Oreochromis niloticus: one gene and its partner. The protein of the gene in region 2 binds, or shares a complex with, the protein of the main gene of each other region. Links are inferred from orthologs where the notes say so. Each region holds a gene or a part of one and is shown on either strand. Other genes may lie near its edges.

Region 1 (7,507 bases), on a different chromosome or scaffold from region 2:
TGGCTGTACTTTTAAAAAAAGAGCTGTGTGACAAACATCTCTTTTACCCTGATGGGAGTCCAAGGAACAGATAACACTGTGATTGGGTTTCCATTCTTCCACAAAGTTGAACCCTTATTTGACTTTCAAATAAAAAGGATCTCAGACCTCATGTTCTATTACATATTTTTTTACTTTTGTGCACAGCTCTTTTAGAAAACCTTGGGAATTGCTTTTGTAGCAATGCAAACACAGCTGCAATTAATAGAGAATCAGAGTGATGCTCAGTGCAGTGCTAATTCATACAAAAGTCAAAATTCCTGCATGCCATTACAGCAAGTAGCTTGGCAGAGAACAGCTTAAAATCTGAGCTAATCCATAACAGCAGGAGGAAAAGATTAGATGTCTTCTGCGATTACTGTGAAATCACAGATGACGATAAGGGAGGTTCATTTAAGGGATGCAAGAGCCACGTAAAGCGTTAAAGCTACGCTATCAAGGTGGTATTTGCATTAAAGCTGTAGACCTTAACTGCATTTGAGGAGGAAGAGAAGAACTGCAATAGAAACCTTTTCAAGGAAAAGTGAAACAACAACTGTGATGAGTTACTGTCTGATGGATGGATGGATCTTTTAGCACGTGATGTGTCTGTTAAATGTGATTAAAGTATTTGAGACTTTTGGCCAAGCTTTAGCTGTCAGACAAACGGCCTGTGGCTCTGTGGCTTAAAAACAAACCCAAATCGTGACCCCTCCACCTCGCTTAATAGTTGGCATGAGTTAATCAAGTACAAGTTGATTAGCAACACCTGGCTGCTACTTGTCCCCTTGATCCCTATTGAAGTAGTAAAGGTGTACTTAGTTTTTCAGAGGATCGCACATAGTCCTATGAAAACCTTCTTTTTAAAATGCCTGCATATATTTTACGGTAAATTTTAAGATGCCCTGGCATAACTGCTTTTTTTGGCATCTAGAATACAAACATATAATCTGCAGTCATTAAATGCATGTGTGAAAAGTGTCAAAGAATTGAAAGTAAATGGTTTAATTGTATCCTATTCGGTTGTAAAACACGATTAACTGTGTGCAAACTTCAAAGTCGGGCCTCTAAAACATTAAGTAACTCCAGTAATGATTTCCTTATGATGTTAAAACAGCATAACCTGTAAGCACTTGCAAGCCTTGCTCCACAGAGGGCAGGCAACTCTCCCAGTAAATGTTATTTCTATACACCCGTGTCTTTTTGCCAACTGTAAATGGTGTGCAGCGATGCAGGGTAAAGGTCAATTAAAAGAAAGCAGGATTATTGTTAATAACACCTAAACATGTTATTTAGAATACAATCCAACAGCTAACTATCAATTACATCAAGTGTATATATGATTAGTAGCAGAGGTGTACAGAGGAGCACTCGACAGATATTTCTGGGGAAATAATACTCCAAGTCGAGTTCCCCCCATGTGGTGAGAACAGAAAATAACAAGGAGTCTATTTAACTGTAGCTACACTCTGCTTATAAAGATCTATGCCCATTTAGGAAATGATCAGTGTTAGTGTAATGCCTCAGGGCCATAATCACCTGTCTCTCGCAGTAGGCCTTCATGAGTTTGATGAGCGGTGTGTGTCTTTTGATCTTGAACTGCACTACAGATCCATCCTGACCCGCTACCTTCAGGTTTATGTGTTCATTGTTTTCTGTCTTCACTGATTCCTGAGGGATAAAAGCACAGAGAGAAACACAGTGAAGGAACAAAAAAAAATGACTTTGACTAACCAGAACATTGCACTAGTTACAGGTTTGCAGGGGGAAAAGGCTGCACGGTATTTTCTGTTATTATTAAATGCGTAATTTCAGTCCCTTTAGTGCCTTCGGTGGTCTTTTAATTTTGCAGAAGCGTGATGAAATAATGAATTCACACCTAAACAGCTCACCAGGTGGCTAGGGAAGAATATTGGCAAGAGCTTATTAATATCCATGACATTATCAATTGTGCTAATTCTTTATTGATTCTTGATCAATTTTCTTTTGGAGGAAGAAAGCAGGCAAATGTCAGTATCAACCCAGCCGTGTCATTATCGCCAAAACAGAGTAGGAAAAGACTGAGCTGTACAAAAGCAGCACTGCTATGAGTTTGACTTCACTTTCACAATGTGTAACTGCCAGAAAGATATGTCAGCATCCATAAAAGGAAGGTTGATAAGCCCAAAGGCGTAAAATTCCCCAGGACTGGAGAATGCGCGACCAGTTTGATTTGCATATTTTGAAATTGTTTAGATATACAGTGCTGTGCAAAAGTGTTGAGCCACCACTCATTTCTTATATTTTGTTAGGATAATGGCAAATAGTTGCAGCAATTTATTGAAACATGCAAACGTATTTGAGAATACAGTATGAGCTTGAAAATCAATATTTCATATGACCAGACTTTATTGTTCCAACACAGCCTGAACTCTCCAAGGAAAGCCTTCTTGTAATTTCTTTAAGTAGTCTAGGTAGTTATCCAAGGTTCTTGAAGGACATTCAAAGCTCTTCTTTGGATGTTGACTGCTTTTTGGTCTAATCTCTTTCAACATGATGCTACACTATTTCAATAATGTTGAGGTTCAGGTTCTGGGGAGACCAACCCATCACCGACATTGTGTTCCACTGTTTTTAAAAAAAATTATTTTCTTTTTTATCCAAGGTGTGCTTTTACTGCGCTCAAAAATGAGCCTTTTGCCAATCAGATGCTTTCCAGATGATTACACGGTGGATCAAAATCTGACGGTACTTTTCTGTGTTTCCATCAGCTGTGACAAGATCCCCCAACACCATTGGCTGAAATGCAGACCCAAACCATGACAGAGCCTCCACTGTGTTTGACAGATGGATGTAGACACTCACTGCTGTACCTCTCTCTTGACCTCCTCTGTACATATTGATGATTTAAATCAAAAAAAATTATAAATCTCAGTTCTTGTCTAATTTTGATACCTCAGCTTTTTCTCCTCGTTTTTCTCTTCCTTGAAAATGGCTTCTTGCCATTTCTGATGAGGCTTCAGAGGACAGTAGATGGATCATCTGAAGGTCCAGGTGCATGCCTCAGGTCCTGTGTCAGGTTTTTGCCGAATTTTTCCCATTTCTTATGGGCATGAATTTCAGATGCTGATCATCTGTTCATCTTAAAGTCTGTAACCTTTTTTGTCCTCCACTTGTCCAATTTCCTAAAATGTAAGGACACACTGTACACAGTGCTGAGATATGCTAGGTCTTTTCCCAAAGTGGGAATCACTTTGTTGGTGCAAAAACACAATTTTAAGCCTTTTGTGGCATAAAAAAAGTAAGTTAAAGAAATGTGTTTTCCAAATAGGAAAAAACACGAAAGACCTGGAAAACTTGGGTATGATCACTGAGTAGGCAAAACAGAGAGTAATGAGGGATGGCTCAAGACTTTTGCACAATACTGTATACAAACTATTTCTCGGATTAAACAAAATTTAAAATTTAAAAAATTTAAATCTTAAATCCTCCCTTTTCGCTTCGCCTGCAGACTCAGAGTGAGCCTGAGATCACCACAGTGATGATTCATATAGTTTCAGTGGCACCAACAGATTCTCACCGGTACACTCTCCCACAGTGGCACAAGCCATTCACACATGCAAGAACGCAAACGCAAACGCAAACACACACACACACACACACAAACACACACACACACACACACACACACACACAGGCGAAATGAGGCATGCAGTGGGGATGACACCAGCTGGTTGGCTGTGTGTTATCAAGCAGAAAGAGGTCCGCGCGCCATTGGATGCGCGTTCACAAACCTTCCGGTCTATCAAAGTAGGTACAGCTAGTAGTTGAATTTCAGCTTGTAACTTTGCAAAAAGGCACAGCGAAACATGCGGAAATAACCGTATTTCTACACACGCACGTGTCAAAAAAAATCAGGCGGAGTAAACTGGCATTTCAATCCACTGTGGAGACACTCACCTTTGGTTTTTCATCAGCCATGGTCACTCTTTTGGCGCTTCTCTACACTGCCACACAAAGAACACGAGTACGCGCACGTACACGTGCCCGTTTAGACTATTACAACCGAACGTGCGCGGCCACGCGCCCATGCGCGTCCACCTCAACGAGCGTTGAGTGGACACCGAGTAGTCACGAGGTTGAAAGCGCAGTCTGGGCAAGGGCGGGAGAGTCACAATGCGCGTTAAAGAGGCAGGCAGATGCACGTGCACGCGCACGGCGATGTTTTCCCTTTTGTTTTCAGGTTTTGAGAAGCGGTTATCTCATTAAATACCCCTTATCGCCCTGCTGAGCTCGCATGGGTGCAGCATAGTTCAGTCAGCATCACCACACATGATCCTCACTGCATGGGGAGAGCCAAATGTGCACTTTTCCATTTCCTTTTTCGTTTTAACCCTTTAAATACCAGTGGCCATCTTGTTTTTTTGTTTTTGCCTGATGGTGATGTGTAGGTGTACTGAACCAATGGTGGCCTTTACGAACTCAAACTGTAACAGTACAGGGCAAAGCTGCACTGATTCTTCACAGATTCAATTGGAGACATTAGTGTGGGTAGCATGTTTGTGGATAGCAAAAGACAAACCCAGCTTCTTAATGCTGGTAATGACCTCTCGTAGGTGAGTCCGGGGAGGCAGTTATAAAGTTAGTGATAAGCTGTATTTTCTGCATTTGTCGCGATAAATCCAAAATCCCGAGTCAAGCTCAGCCGACGGAAAAACAGGCAGGTAGACGGGCACCCCTTTCGGTGACATCGTAACGCATGCGCAGCAGGTGCTTTCGACTGAAAGAGCGAGGCGCGTAAGCAGTACCGGTCCACATTTGCAGTTCATGGCGTGTTTATAGCCAAAAAAGTTCACATTGTTGTCTTTTCTGTGTCGATGATATTGTTCCCAGATGGAGGAGGTAGACGTTGAGCCCACTATTACTGTAAGTAGCCACTGTAGCTTAGTGCTTTTAACTCCTCATTGGCACTAAATGGCTTTGCTAACAGGCTAACTTTCGCAAACACCTATTTTAACGACCCGTTTGAATATTTATATTGTAAGTTGTCAAGAAATGGAAAGGGGCACACACTCAGCCATGTCACAAGTATAAAAGTGGCAAGATTATAAGAAGATGAGTTAGAATTACGAGCAGCATTAACTACAGTTTGAGTTAGTAATATAGCTAGACCATGTCTCAGTCACCACTCAACCTTCTCACATAATATTATAATTAAATCTGAAACGGAATGATTTAATTTTAACCCTCATCATGTTATTCACATCATTTTCAGTGTAGTAACAGTGTTTCTCCTTTTTTAATTGCAGAATATCCCTGCAATCAGTGATGGAAAGCACATGGGATTTGCATGGGGTCCTGGTGATATTCTTGTATATGAGACACTATACAAAGCATCAGGTATGTTTCAAAATTAGCACAGGACACCATGTATGCTTTCACAGTTTCCCTCTGTTTCTCCTTTTCTTTTTAAGAGAATGAATGGTGTAGTGAATGCCTGTGAAATGTCTGCTACAATGTTGTGAAAAAGTATTTTCCGCTTGTTGATGTCTTATTTTTTTTTTGCGTGTTTGTCACACTTACATGTTTCATATTATCAAACACATTTTGATTTTTGATGACCAGATGAAATATAAAAGGCAATCAGTGCTATCAGGCCCTGTTGTTGTGTTTTGTTTTGTTTTTGTTTTTTTCTTAAAAAGGTAATTGCCCCCAAACTTAGTAACTGACTGTGCCACTGTTGGCAGCAAGTAATGCAATCAAGCATTTGGGATAACTGGCAGCGAGTCTTTCACATCGCTGTACCCACTCATCTTGGCAGAATTGTTTTAATTTAGTTTATTGTTTAGGTAACTTTTTCATAGCACTGTTTGATGTGTTTTACTATAGTTTTTATGATTACTTTTAGACATGTGCATATATACATTTTTCAATAAACATATTTTGAGCCATTTTTTTCAGACATTTAAATTTTGTTTTATATGTGTAATGACAATAACTATAATATTACTGTTGTTCTTTCACCACCTGCCTTTGTTTCAGGTGCTTCAGGATCAGGTTGCTCATTCATCCATGAGATCAGGAAAGATGAGGACATATATTCCCCCATTTTACGCAAGCTTTTTAACGAGTCTCACCACATCTTCGTCGGCCTGCAGACAATTAGAGAGGAACTCCCTAGCAAGAGTAAAAAACCCCAGTAAGGACGCGTGGTGCAATCCCACCTCTGTTTGTTCATATTGTTGGATTGCATATCGGTGGCATAACAATAGTTGAAAAAGTCACACAAAGCAGCACCCACTTTGTATGTTTTACAATTTTACCTCTGCCTTACTCCTTAGATTTGTTAGTATCAGCAAAAATTATCGATCCGTGATCCGTGCTTGTATGGAGGAACTTCAGCAAGTTGCAGGTAATACTGTTGAAATATACTTCTTTTGGCAAAAAATTTCAATTTGATGTAACCATAAAAGTTTTGGCAGTTTTTTCAAATTTCTATTTTATAGTCTTGTTTATACAATAAAAACAAAGGAAATGTGTGTGATTACTCACTAAACAACTTTTCCTTTTTGCAGTTTCTACCAGAAATGTAGAGTTGGCCACTCAGTGTGGAAATCAGGTAAGTACTAATGTTTGTGTGGCAGTAACGTTATCTGGACTAGTCCACATACAGAGCATGTGTGAGTGTCTCTGTCAGTAATTGACTAATAATGTCATGATTTAATTGAGTAGCGTGGCACAGCTCTGTGGGTTTTATGACCACAGTCAAACTGCCTGTATTTGAAAGGGGACATTAATGCTCAGTTAGTGAGGAAGAATCCACATTCAGTTTTTTACTCAGATGTACATTTCGTTGCATTGTTTAGTGGCATTATCCTGACCCTGATCTGCTTTGTTTTGTTAAAGGTGTCCATTCTTTTGGCCATAGAACTGATCTGGAATCTGTGTGAAGTGCTGTTCATCGATGCTGCTCCAGGTTGGAATCCGCATCTTATGACTGGATTTTTGGGGTTGTAGAAACACCCAAACAAACGTATCTGCAACATGGCTGTGTCTGTGTTTTCAGCAGGCTCCCTGTTGCTCCACCTGCTGGACTGGGTAAGGTTACATAAGGCTGACGTGGACGAGAGGGCCAGAGAGGTGCTCCAAAGTGAGAGCCCTGCTGAGCACCACGACTACTGGGACGTGGTAGGTGCAGCATGTTACATCTTTAAAATTACATCTCCACTGTTGGTGTTCTGCATTTGCTGCTTCATCTGTGTTTTGTCTGTTATGAATTCTCTGGAGAGACCTGAGTGATCACATGTGTGTGCTGTGCAGGTGGTGAGTTATGTGCTGCAGGGCAGGTTGGAAGAAGTCAGACAGATGCTGGTGAAACAGGGCACCTTACAGCCTGCTGCCAGGAGCATGTACAAGCAGATGGATACCTTGCTCAGCAAGATGCCCTTCTACAATGTAAGATGAAAATGCAGTGGTTTATTTCCTTTGAATGATAGCTGAAATTGTTTTA
Region 2 (8,634 bases):
CCGCAGTCTGACGCATGTTAGAACTGATCGAGCTGTGACCCAGGATTTACACAGTAACAGTTGGAATGTCTTTCTTTTTGTTGTTGTTGTTTTATTTGTTTTTTGTTTGTTTTTGTTTTTTTAAAACTAAAGAGTGTGCTGTGCCCATGAGCAGAGGAGACTGGATATATGGAGTAGTAAAGAAGTGCACTACACTGGGCGGTAGAAGAACGAATGTTAGAGAGAAGCACTGTTCCACCTCGATGATGTAGTGGTGGTGGTGTGATATGCACCGATACTACGCAGTCCTGCTTCCTACCTGGCTGTTTGTTTGTTTTACTGTTTGTTCTTTTTTTCTTTGGGTGGGTGGGTAAATTATTGAATCAAACTTATAAGAGCAATTTATGCTGGCTTATTGCATTTGCACTCAAAAGAAGGTAAAGGGCCGAGAAGCTGAGGGAGGTAACGTGGACCTTTTTAATTGAGAGGCTGTAACGACAACACCTGAAACGAGTCTCTCTGACAATGACTGTTTCTACGTTTTGGAGAGGGGGTGGGGGGAGCAAAGCAATGTCCAACAGGGACTTTAAACCTGCATTCGTCATACCTGATTTCTTCTTTTTGATATCTGTTTTTTGCCACACAGCCTTTCTTCGTTGTGCCATGCATAGATCTTCCCTATCTCTTTTTTTTCTCCCTATCAGCAAACGAAAGCACAGAGATTCATTTAAGTGAAAGAGAAGCCGCCAACATTTTGGGGAAAGTGGGTTTCTGCTACAGAGAGTGAGAGGTTAAGTTAAGAACTGACAGGCTTAGTACTAATACTATTCTCCAAATATATGCTTTGCCACTTCATGAGCGGGGCCAGACTAGTCTCTGTCTGTGCTCTTGTTTCAGGGTCTGTTAGGGGAAGTTTTAAGATGGCCCTGCACAAGAAACACAGGGTTATAATTGCACTAGGTAGTAACAAAAAGGTTTATAGTGTTTATTTTCTTTGGGAATAAATGCGATCTGCCGTAGATAAAACAAGACTGTGACACGATGGCTGGGATGATGGATGAATGTAATCTGTAGCACTGCTGTGGTGAGGGTCCAAGCTTTGATTTGAGTATAGTAAATTCTACAAAATATGCCATAATATAAAATTAATGTGAGGCTGGGTGGTGTTTAAACCTAAAGCTTTATTGATATAGTGATTTTTTTTTTTTCTTTTTTCAAACCACGAACAGGTCTTCCAGTGTAGTGAACATCGTTATGTGCAAAACTGAGCAAGGTTCACATGCAGTGCAGACTTTTTCCCTCTGTTTATTTGATCTTTTTTTTTAACACAGAGATTTTGCAAATTGTACCTTCATATCATTTTTCGTTTATTATTCTTACAGGTTTTTCTTGCAGGGAAAAAAAGAAAACAATATTCAGTTGTCTATTTGAGCCACTTAAATGTCTGATCACTTCTGGTTATGCCAGTCAGAGTAACAGACTTGAGAAATGGATATGTGTAGCCTTTATTTTGGAAAATATAGAAAGTAGCTGTTATAGCTTCAGAAAAAAAGAGAGAGAAACCTTTCTACTCAGTTGGTAAACTGGGCAATGAGTGTGATATGCTTTGTATTTAATATTTCTCTCTGTGTGTTTTTGTGTAAAATAAATCTTTGATTTTGATCTTTTTGAATAGGCGGACTTTCGCAGAGATACTAAATACATGGGGAATATGAAATCAGCTGCAATTAAAATAAAGCAGTAAATAATAACGGGTGGGAAACATGGATATGTTCCACTGTAGTATTAAAGGGGTGTGGAGCAGTGCCTTAGACTGTGAATGTGTGGGTGTGGATGTGTGCCATTACTTTGTGCTCAGAAGCAAACAAGACCAAGGATCTACTAAATATAGCCAGATAACACTTTTTTTGGGCCATTTTCGAGTTTAAAATTCCAAACTAGTAATTTTTAATCTAATAAATGATATTAATAATGTAGTCATTTATTCACCTTACATTCTTGCTTTATGTTTTCCATCATGTTGGCTCACCAGCCCAGTATTACATATTTACAGCACACCTCTTAAGGAATCTGGTTGAACACCCTTGGAAGAAATTCAAATGAAATCTCATTCGTAGTATAGTCAAGTATAGTCAAACCTGTTCATCAGTTAATCACATTTAAGGTGTGGCGGGCTTTTGTTGTTGTTGTTTGGGGCGGGGGGGTTTTCTTTCTTTTTTTACGCACGGTTTCCTTATCATGCGCCGGTTTTGACCAGCTCATTCACCTTTTCTGCCCCGCTGCAAAACAAAGCCATCAAAAAAAAAAAACAAAGCAGAAAAATAATCCTTTAACAGCACTTGGGGTTTGATCCTTTTCTTGTGCAGGGTAAATGAACGATGTTGCACTATAAATGGAGAATATCATGGTTAACCCTTGGGAAGATTGACGTGGCCAAAAGAGAAAAGTCCAGTTACACGTATGTTATGTATCTGACGTGTTTCTCATTTATATCAAACTTTTAGTTTTTCTTGGATGGTTATTGAATAGAGGGTATTTTATTGCAAATAACTTCTTCCTCACTTTGCATCGGGCTCTGCTCACCCCCACACGGACACTGTAGTTTTTTGTTCCAGTGACTGGCTCATCATGAAAAACAATACATTTATATGCAAAGAGACACTTGTACCATAAAATGCATGCCATTCGCACACTCACCGCAACCCAATGAAACCTCTGATCTTTATGCACCATGTATTTTATGCTGAATAACTCTTGTCACTGTTAGTAAACAAAGATTGAGGTGTCCTGTGGTGAGCAGGGCTGGATTTTTTTATTATACAACCTGGCCTTTCGCTGAATGTTTGCATAAAGCTGAATTTCTTGTATTAATGACAGCAAAGTAGTGACAAAGAGTGGAATACAGAGACCAAGTACACAGTTCAGTGTGTTCACAGCTCAGCACACTCGGAAGAAAATGCACTGAAGGTTTGTATGTGTATTTACGTGTCCTTGTACATAACGCCAGCACTTTAGAACTACTTGGAAAGGTGAAAGGAAAAACACTGAGAGCAACTGGGTGTTAGGCAAATGAGGGGTAAATGCAACTTTTAAAGCCATGTGTTCAGAGCGCTGACAATCAGAATAGGACGAGACCCAAAGTGCACTATGGGAGATACGGTATGACTTGCTATGTGCTCTTGCTGTTTGCTTTGTCTTTCTTCAGCTTGCTTCAGTCTGTGCTAGCTTCCTTTCCAGAGTGGAGGGACATGGTGATGTTATCTCCAGCCTTCTTGGTTATAAGTGTGTGTCTTTACAACCAGGACTGAGTCAAACTTTGGTGCTTTGCAAACAGAGCTGTCCCCATGTTGACATGGACCATATCTGTCATGCTCTGGTAAGCATGTTCTGGAGGTGGTCCTGAGCCCTTTGATGGACAACAACCCTACACCGATCATGGTAATGTTCTTCACTATCAGCTGGGCTTGGATCAGGCAAACTGGGATGGGACAATTTCAGTGTTGATGCCGCTTTATGTTTCAAATGAAAAAGATGTTTATGCGCCTTCTGACTCAAGCATCAATAATATATACAACAGAAATGCAAGTTGCCACTTTTGATGTAATCTACCTTTCATTCCCATCATATTTGCCATCACCAGTTTTAAGTTGTATAGTCCAAGAGTACCCAATTTCTTTAAATGCAATACAGAAAAATCTGCTTTCTAATAAAAGTCCTTACTTCACCATATACTGTCTTTTGTCTCTCTTTGCGTTTGCCAAAGTACCTACAAAAGGATGCACTTGAAATATATTTTTCTCTGGAAGTTGCAATTTATTGTAGCTCTGCATGGCTTCAAACATGTAAGTAATGAGATTCCAGCAGAAAGAAGACAAATTAGTGACAATAATAATTCTCACTGTCTGTGCCACTGAGCTGTGAAATGCTTGTGTCATTAAAATGGTGTTAAATTTTGCTGGATGAGTCACTGGAGTCCCTTCAAAGATGAATGTAACATACAGTATACAGCCAGTTTTATTTCATAAAGGCACAGGTTTAGAATTGCAGGCAACACTGGATCGATCCAAATCAACCATCTTAACCTAAGCATTTCATCTTTATGATATATAAATATTTATATGTACTGGGGGGGGCTCTTATTAAGCTACCACTCATTCTTACAATCTTTTTTAAAATTTATTTTGCTATGAAAATGAGAAATACTGAAGATGCAGCAGTTTATTGAAACATGCATGAATATATGGTATGTGAGGTGAAAGAATGTGTTCAACTCTAACAAGATTGAAAGTCGGTATTTGGTATGACTACTTTTATCCTTGAATACAGCCTGAACTCTTGTAAATTCTTGAACTAGTCTTCAAGGATCGTTCTCCAGGATTCTTGAAGGACAATCAGAGCTCTCCTTTGCTGGCTTAGCTGGCTTTTATTCCATTCCCTGACAGCCACCAGTCCATTTAGATAATTTATGCTGAAGCTTCGAACAGTAGAATTGTAGATTAACTATTAGCCAACACTATTATAAGTTTTGGTTAATGGCTCATGGAAATCACTTTGTTGGTGGAAAAAGTGCTATTATATTACTGTAAAAAGTGTGACCTTTTTAACAGTAAGTAAAAAAAATGCATAAAAGTTATGTTTTCGTATACACACACGTGTGGGTATGTATGTATACATATATGTATATATATACATATATATACACACACACACACACACACATATACAGTACATATATGTATATACAAACTTACACACAAACATAACTTTTATGCACTTTTTTACTTACTATTAAAAAGGTAAAATATATACCTTTAATTATATATATATATATATATATATATATATATATATATATATATATATATATATATATATATATATACACACACACACACACACACACACACATGCCTTTCACTCAACCTTTAATTGCAACTCTGGAACATACGCGACTGTATGAGCTCGTGTTCCCGCAAGCTGCTCTGGTATCTACTCGTCATCCTAGCTGGTTTTTGTTTTTTCTACGGAAAAATCGCGCGGTGTGTGTTTAGTTGTCCTGATGTAGCTAACCAAAACTTTCTGTGGTACATACTAGCAAGAAATAAACGAATACAGCAGGTCTTTTGGAAGAAAAACCCTCAAAATTTCACAATGAGTGACGATGCGGACTCCCCTCCTGAGAGGGAAATGAAGGTATGTCTCTGTTAAAGTTGACTTGACAGGTTAGCATGTGTAAGTTACCGTGTCAGTTCATCCTCAATGTAGTGGCTAGTTTAGCTAGCTAGCTAGCTAAACAAGCCACTTGTCGTGGGTTATGTTTTCTGGTTTAGGTATCCTTAGCCTCACGATATTTACTGAACTGTAATGACTACTTTGATACGATAAAACATTAGAGACTTTCACAGCGGTTTAAAAGCATTTAAATTAAAAGTAGTTACGGCAGTTTCATTCATGCCATATTTTTAGCCCGCTACTTAGGGTTAGCACCGTAGCCGGTGTGATGTTGTGCTTGTAAAGTTAAACGCCGCTGTGTTGGGTGGATTCGTCCTATTAAATTATGCATTTGTAAAATAACGTGTTCTAACACACGTTGCATTTTTTTTATGTTTAAGTTTTATGTATTGCTGTAATATTACAACAAGCCTTGCACCGATAGCTAACACGATATTGTAACGTGTTAGCATTGTGCTAATTGAGAGGCATTACAAACATTTGGCTTTGAGATCACCCTTCAGGCTCACCAGCTAGCTTGTCAACAATGTTTATTTACAGTTTGTATTATTCTGTCTCAAAGACGCTGCGTTTGCATTTACCTAAGTGGACCCACAGTTGTTAACAGTTCATAACAGTTTACCATGAAATGAAAGTGTTTGCCTTTCGTTTTAGGATTTTCAGTTTCGTCAGATGAAGAAAGTCAGAGTGTTTGAGCCCACCGAAGATTTGCCAAAAGACAGATCCAGCCTCCTTGCCATCTCAAATAAGTATGGCTTAACTTTTGTGGGGCTTGACAGAACTTTCAAGGTGTACTTAACTCGAGATATTCTGGCTGCTGATAAAGGTGATGGCAACTCCAACGAAATAGGTATGAATCCACTACAGTTTTAAATAGTGCAATAATGACAGGTTAAAAACACAATGTTGTCATGACTGATACACCACATGTTTTATGTCATTAATAATTTTTGCTGTTTCACTGTCCACTAACATCTTCTTCCGTATTTTAGTCAAAGGAATACCAGTACTGGCTGAAGTGACCGTGGAACTAGTTTTGCACCACTTGGCTCTCAGTTGTGATGAGCTCACACTGTCCGTGTGTGGCATGTCTGAGGAAGCTGGCTTGTCACTCACATTCTATGATGTCCGCACGTTCATGAACAAGGTAGTTATTTCAGTCTGTCTACCTAATGTGCTAACACAGTCGAACAGCTGCTGCCAAATTTCACCTTGTCTGTTAAATGTAATGATGTTGTCTGATTTTTGTTTTAATTTGCATTCTTTGCTTTTCCAGGGAAAACTACAGAAGCTACCATTTGCATTCCACCAACCAGCTGTAGCACCTGACGTCTTAGTGCAGGACCTGAAGTGGAATCCTGTGCAGGTGTCTGTGTTGGCTGTCTGCCTCTCTGATGGCAGTATAATGATTTTGGATGTTACTGACAGTGTCAATGTGCAGGCCAGGCTGCCTTCTTCAAGTGGAATTACCTGCAGTGAGTGACACTCTTGACATAATTGCTAAATTTATCTGCAGTCCATATCGGTGATGTGGCTCAGTAGTCGTTTACTTGCTTTGTTTACCACAGTTTGCTGGAGTCCAAAGGGAAAGCAAGTAGCAGCTGGAAAAATGGATGGTACAGTCACGCAATATACACCAGTAAGTTATTATAATAATTTTGAATTAAAAGCAAATTGCTTAACAGCCTGTGGAAGCTACAGGAACAGATTTTTCTCCTCTGTTTTAAAGGGACTGGAGGAAAAGAAAGTTATCCCATGTCCACAGTTCTTCACCCCTGGCGAACCTGTAAAAGGTAAGGTAGCCATACCTATGTATATAAATTTAAACTATGAAAATGGTCCATACACTAAGGTTTTTATCTTGGTGGTGATAGATTAGTAATAGATTGCAATGATTCCATAAAATATTTCAAATTGTATAGGAAAAGGAGGAGCTGAGTCTTGCTGTTTCGTTGATGTTCCAATTTCTTGTCTCTCTTTCCTATTTGTCTCTCACAGCTGTGGATGTACTGTGGCTGAAAACCTATGTGTTTGCAGTAGCATATGCTGCTGGAGATGGCTCACTTGAGACCCCCCCTGAGCTAGTGTTGATCTCACTCCCAGTAAGTATGCCAGGCATTGGTTTTTAGATAGATTTTTATCTGGGTTTATCAGGTTTATAAGACTCTGGTTCTACTGTCGAACTGCTGATCAGAGTATGAAGCTCAGTTAAGACCATTTATGGGTACTGGGGGAAAAAATCATCACTGCAGCTCAGTTATGGAGAAAGGAGTTAAATTCATTATCCACATTTTCATCTTTTACCAAACTTGAATTTTCCTTGCTTGCGTTTCTAAGTTTTATCACATACATTTTAAAATGTATTTATATATCAGCAACATGACAGTGATAACAATTCAAGTAACAGAGTTAAACACATGTATCTAGCAGATTAGTTATTGATCCGTGAAGTGTGTGAAAAAGATAACCAAGGTTCAAACTGTAACAGTTCAATTTATACTCAAAATATAAATGCACAGCAGTTTTTAAACATTGTTTACAAATATATTTGTGTATTTATGTTTAACATAAATACATTTAGATTATGGTTAGGAATTCATTAGAGCTGCTTTTAAGTCTGGAAATCTACAAGTCATTTGATCACAGTCATCTTTATTCAGAAATATTCACATCATCCCCACATGAAGTGAAACAGAGCTGGAATGATCCAGCAAACTGATCATCACGATCTAATTGTTCATCATTAGTGTTTTATGCCTCCAGAGCTTTATACAGGTTTTAATAATTAAACAGGGATTAATACAGAAATGTTTCAGTGCAAAGAAAATGACCACAGAAGAAAAGCAAAGAATAACAGTGTTGATTGTTTTTTTTTCCTCCTGATTTTGAACCTTTATCAGGTAGCTCAGTGGTTGCCATTGACAGCCATGAGTACCAAAAGAAACTTCACAGCATTTTGGCATACAGTATTCCTGTATGCCTGGCACAACCAGTCTAGAGGCATGAGAGTGCAAGCGGGTCAGTCAGTGAAGACATTTCTATGACACATCTGTGAAGGAACTTAGATTTCCAGATGGTAGAAATAAAGATTTAAAACCAAAAAGAACTGCTTATTCCTATGAATCTGTGATTTATTTATTTATTTTTTCCTTAGGCTTCCGTTTCAGTGTATGTAGTTCTGGTGCTCTGATGATATCACAGCTGTGCATGCAATGACCAGTGCTTTGACCATAATTGGGCTTTTGTGCTTTCTTTTCGTATTTACACTACTGTGCAAAAGTCTTGAGTCACCACTCATTTCTTCATATTTTGCTTCCAGCTAGACTTTTTTTTTTTTTTAAATGACAGAGAAAGCATTATGCAGGCTCTCTGAATGTATTTCAAGGTTTTTCTTTGGACATTGGCTGCTTTTCCACTCTTTTT

Evidence for each region. The genes of interacting proteins can lie anywhere in the genome.
Region 1: nup214 (region 2) and nup85 share a complex: the UniProt entries of both Homo sapiens proteins name them as parts of the nuclear pore complex. The link is inferred for Oreochromis niloticus from reciprocal best matches to the Homo sapiens genes NUP214 and NUP85.

The regions. Positions count from the first base shown.
Region 1 is NC_031969.2:17,372,336-17,379,842, forward strand, and holds the start of nup85 (nuclear pore complex protein Nup85), read left to right. Parts: upstream 1-4,507; 5' UTR 4,508-4,790; exon of another isoform or gene 4,791-4,794; intron 4,795-4,890; coding exon 4,891-4,923; intron 4,924-5,306; coding exon 5,307-5,397; intron 5,398-6,039; coding exon 6,040-6,196; intron 6,197-6,338; coding exon 6,339-6,409; intron 6,410-6,572; coding exon 6,573-6,616; intron 6,617-6,903; coding exon 6,904-6,973; intron 6,974-7,063; coding exon 7,064-7,185; intron 7,186-7,317; coding exon 7,318-7,452; intron 7,453-7,507. Other genes in the region: small ubiquitin-related modifier 2, read right to left, coding at 1,558-1,689, 3,958-3,978. UniProt on the Homo sapiens protein: Essential component of the nuclear pore complex (NPC) that seems to be required for NPC assembly and maintenance. As part of the NPC Nup107-160 subcomplex plays a role in RNA export and in tethering NUP96/Nup98 and NUP153 to the nucleus.
Region 2 is NC_031972.2:19,142,342-19,150,975, reverse strand, and holds the start of nup214 (nuclear pore complex protein Nup214), read left to right. Parts: upstream 1-4,938; 5' UTR 4,939-5,130; coding exon 5,131-5,172; intron 5,173-5,865; coding exon 5,866-6,061; intron 6,062-6,203; coding exon 6,204-6,358; intron 6,359-6,487; coding exon 6,488-6,686; intron 6,687-6,779; coding exon 6,780-6,850; intron 6,851-6,940; coding exon 6,941-7,004; intron 7,005-7,209; coding exon 7,210-7,313; intron 7,314-8,634. UniProt on the Homo sapiens protein: Part of the nuclear pore complex. Has a critical role in nucleocytoplasmic transport.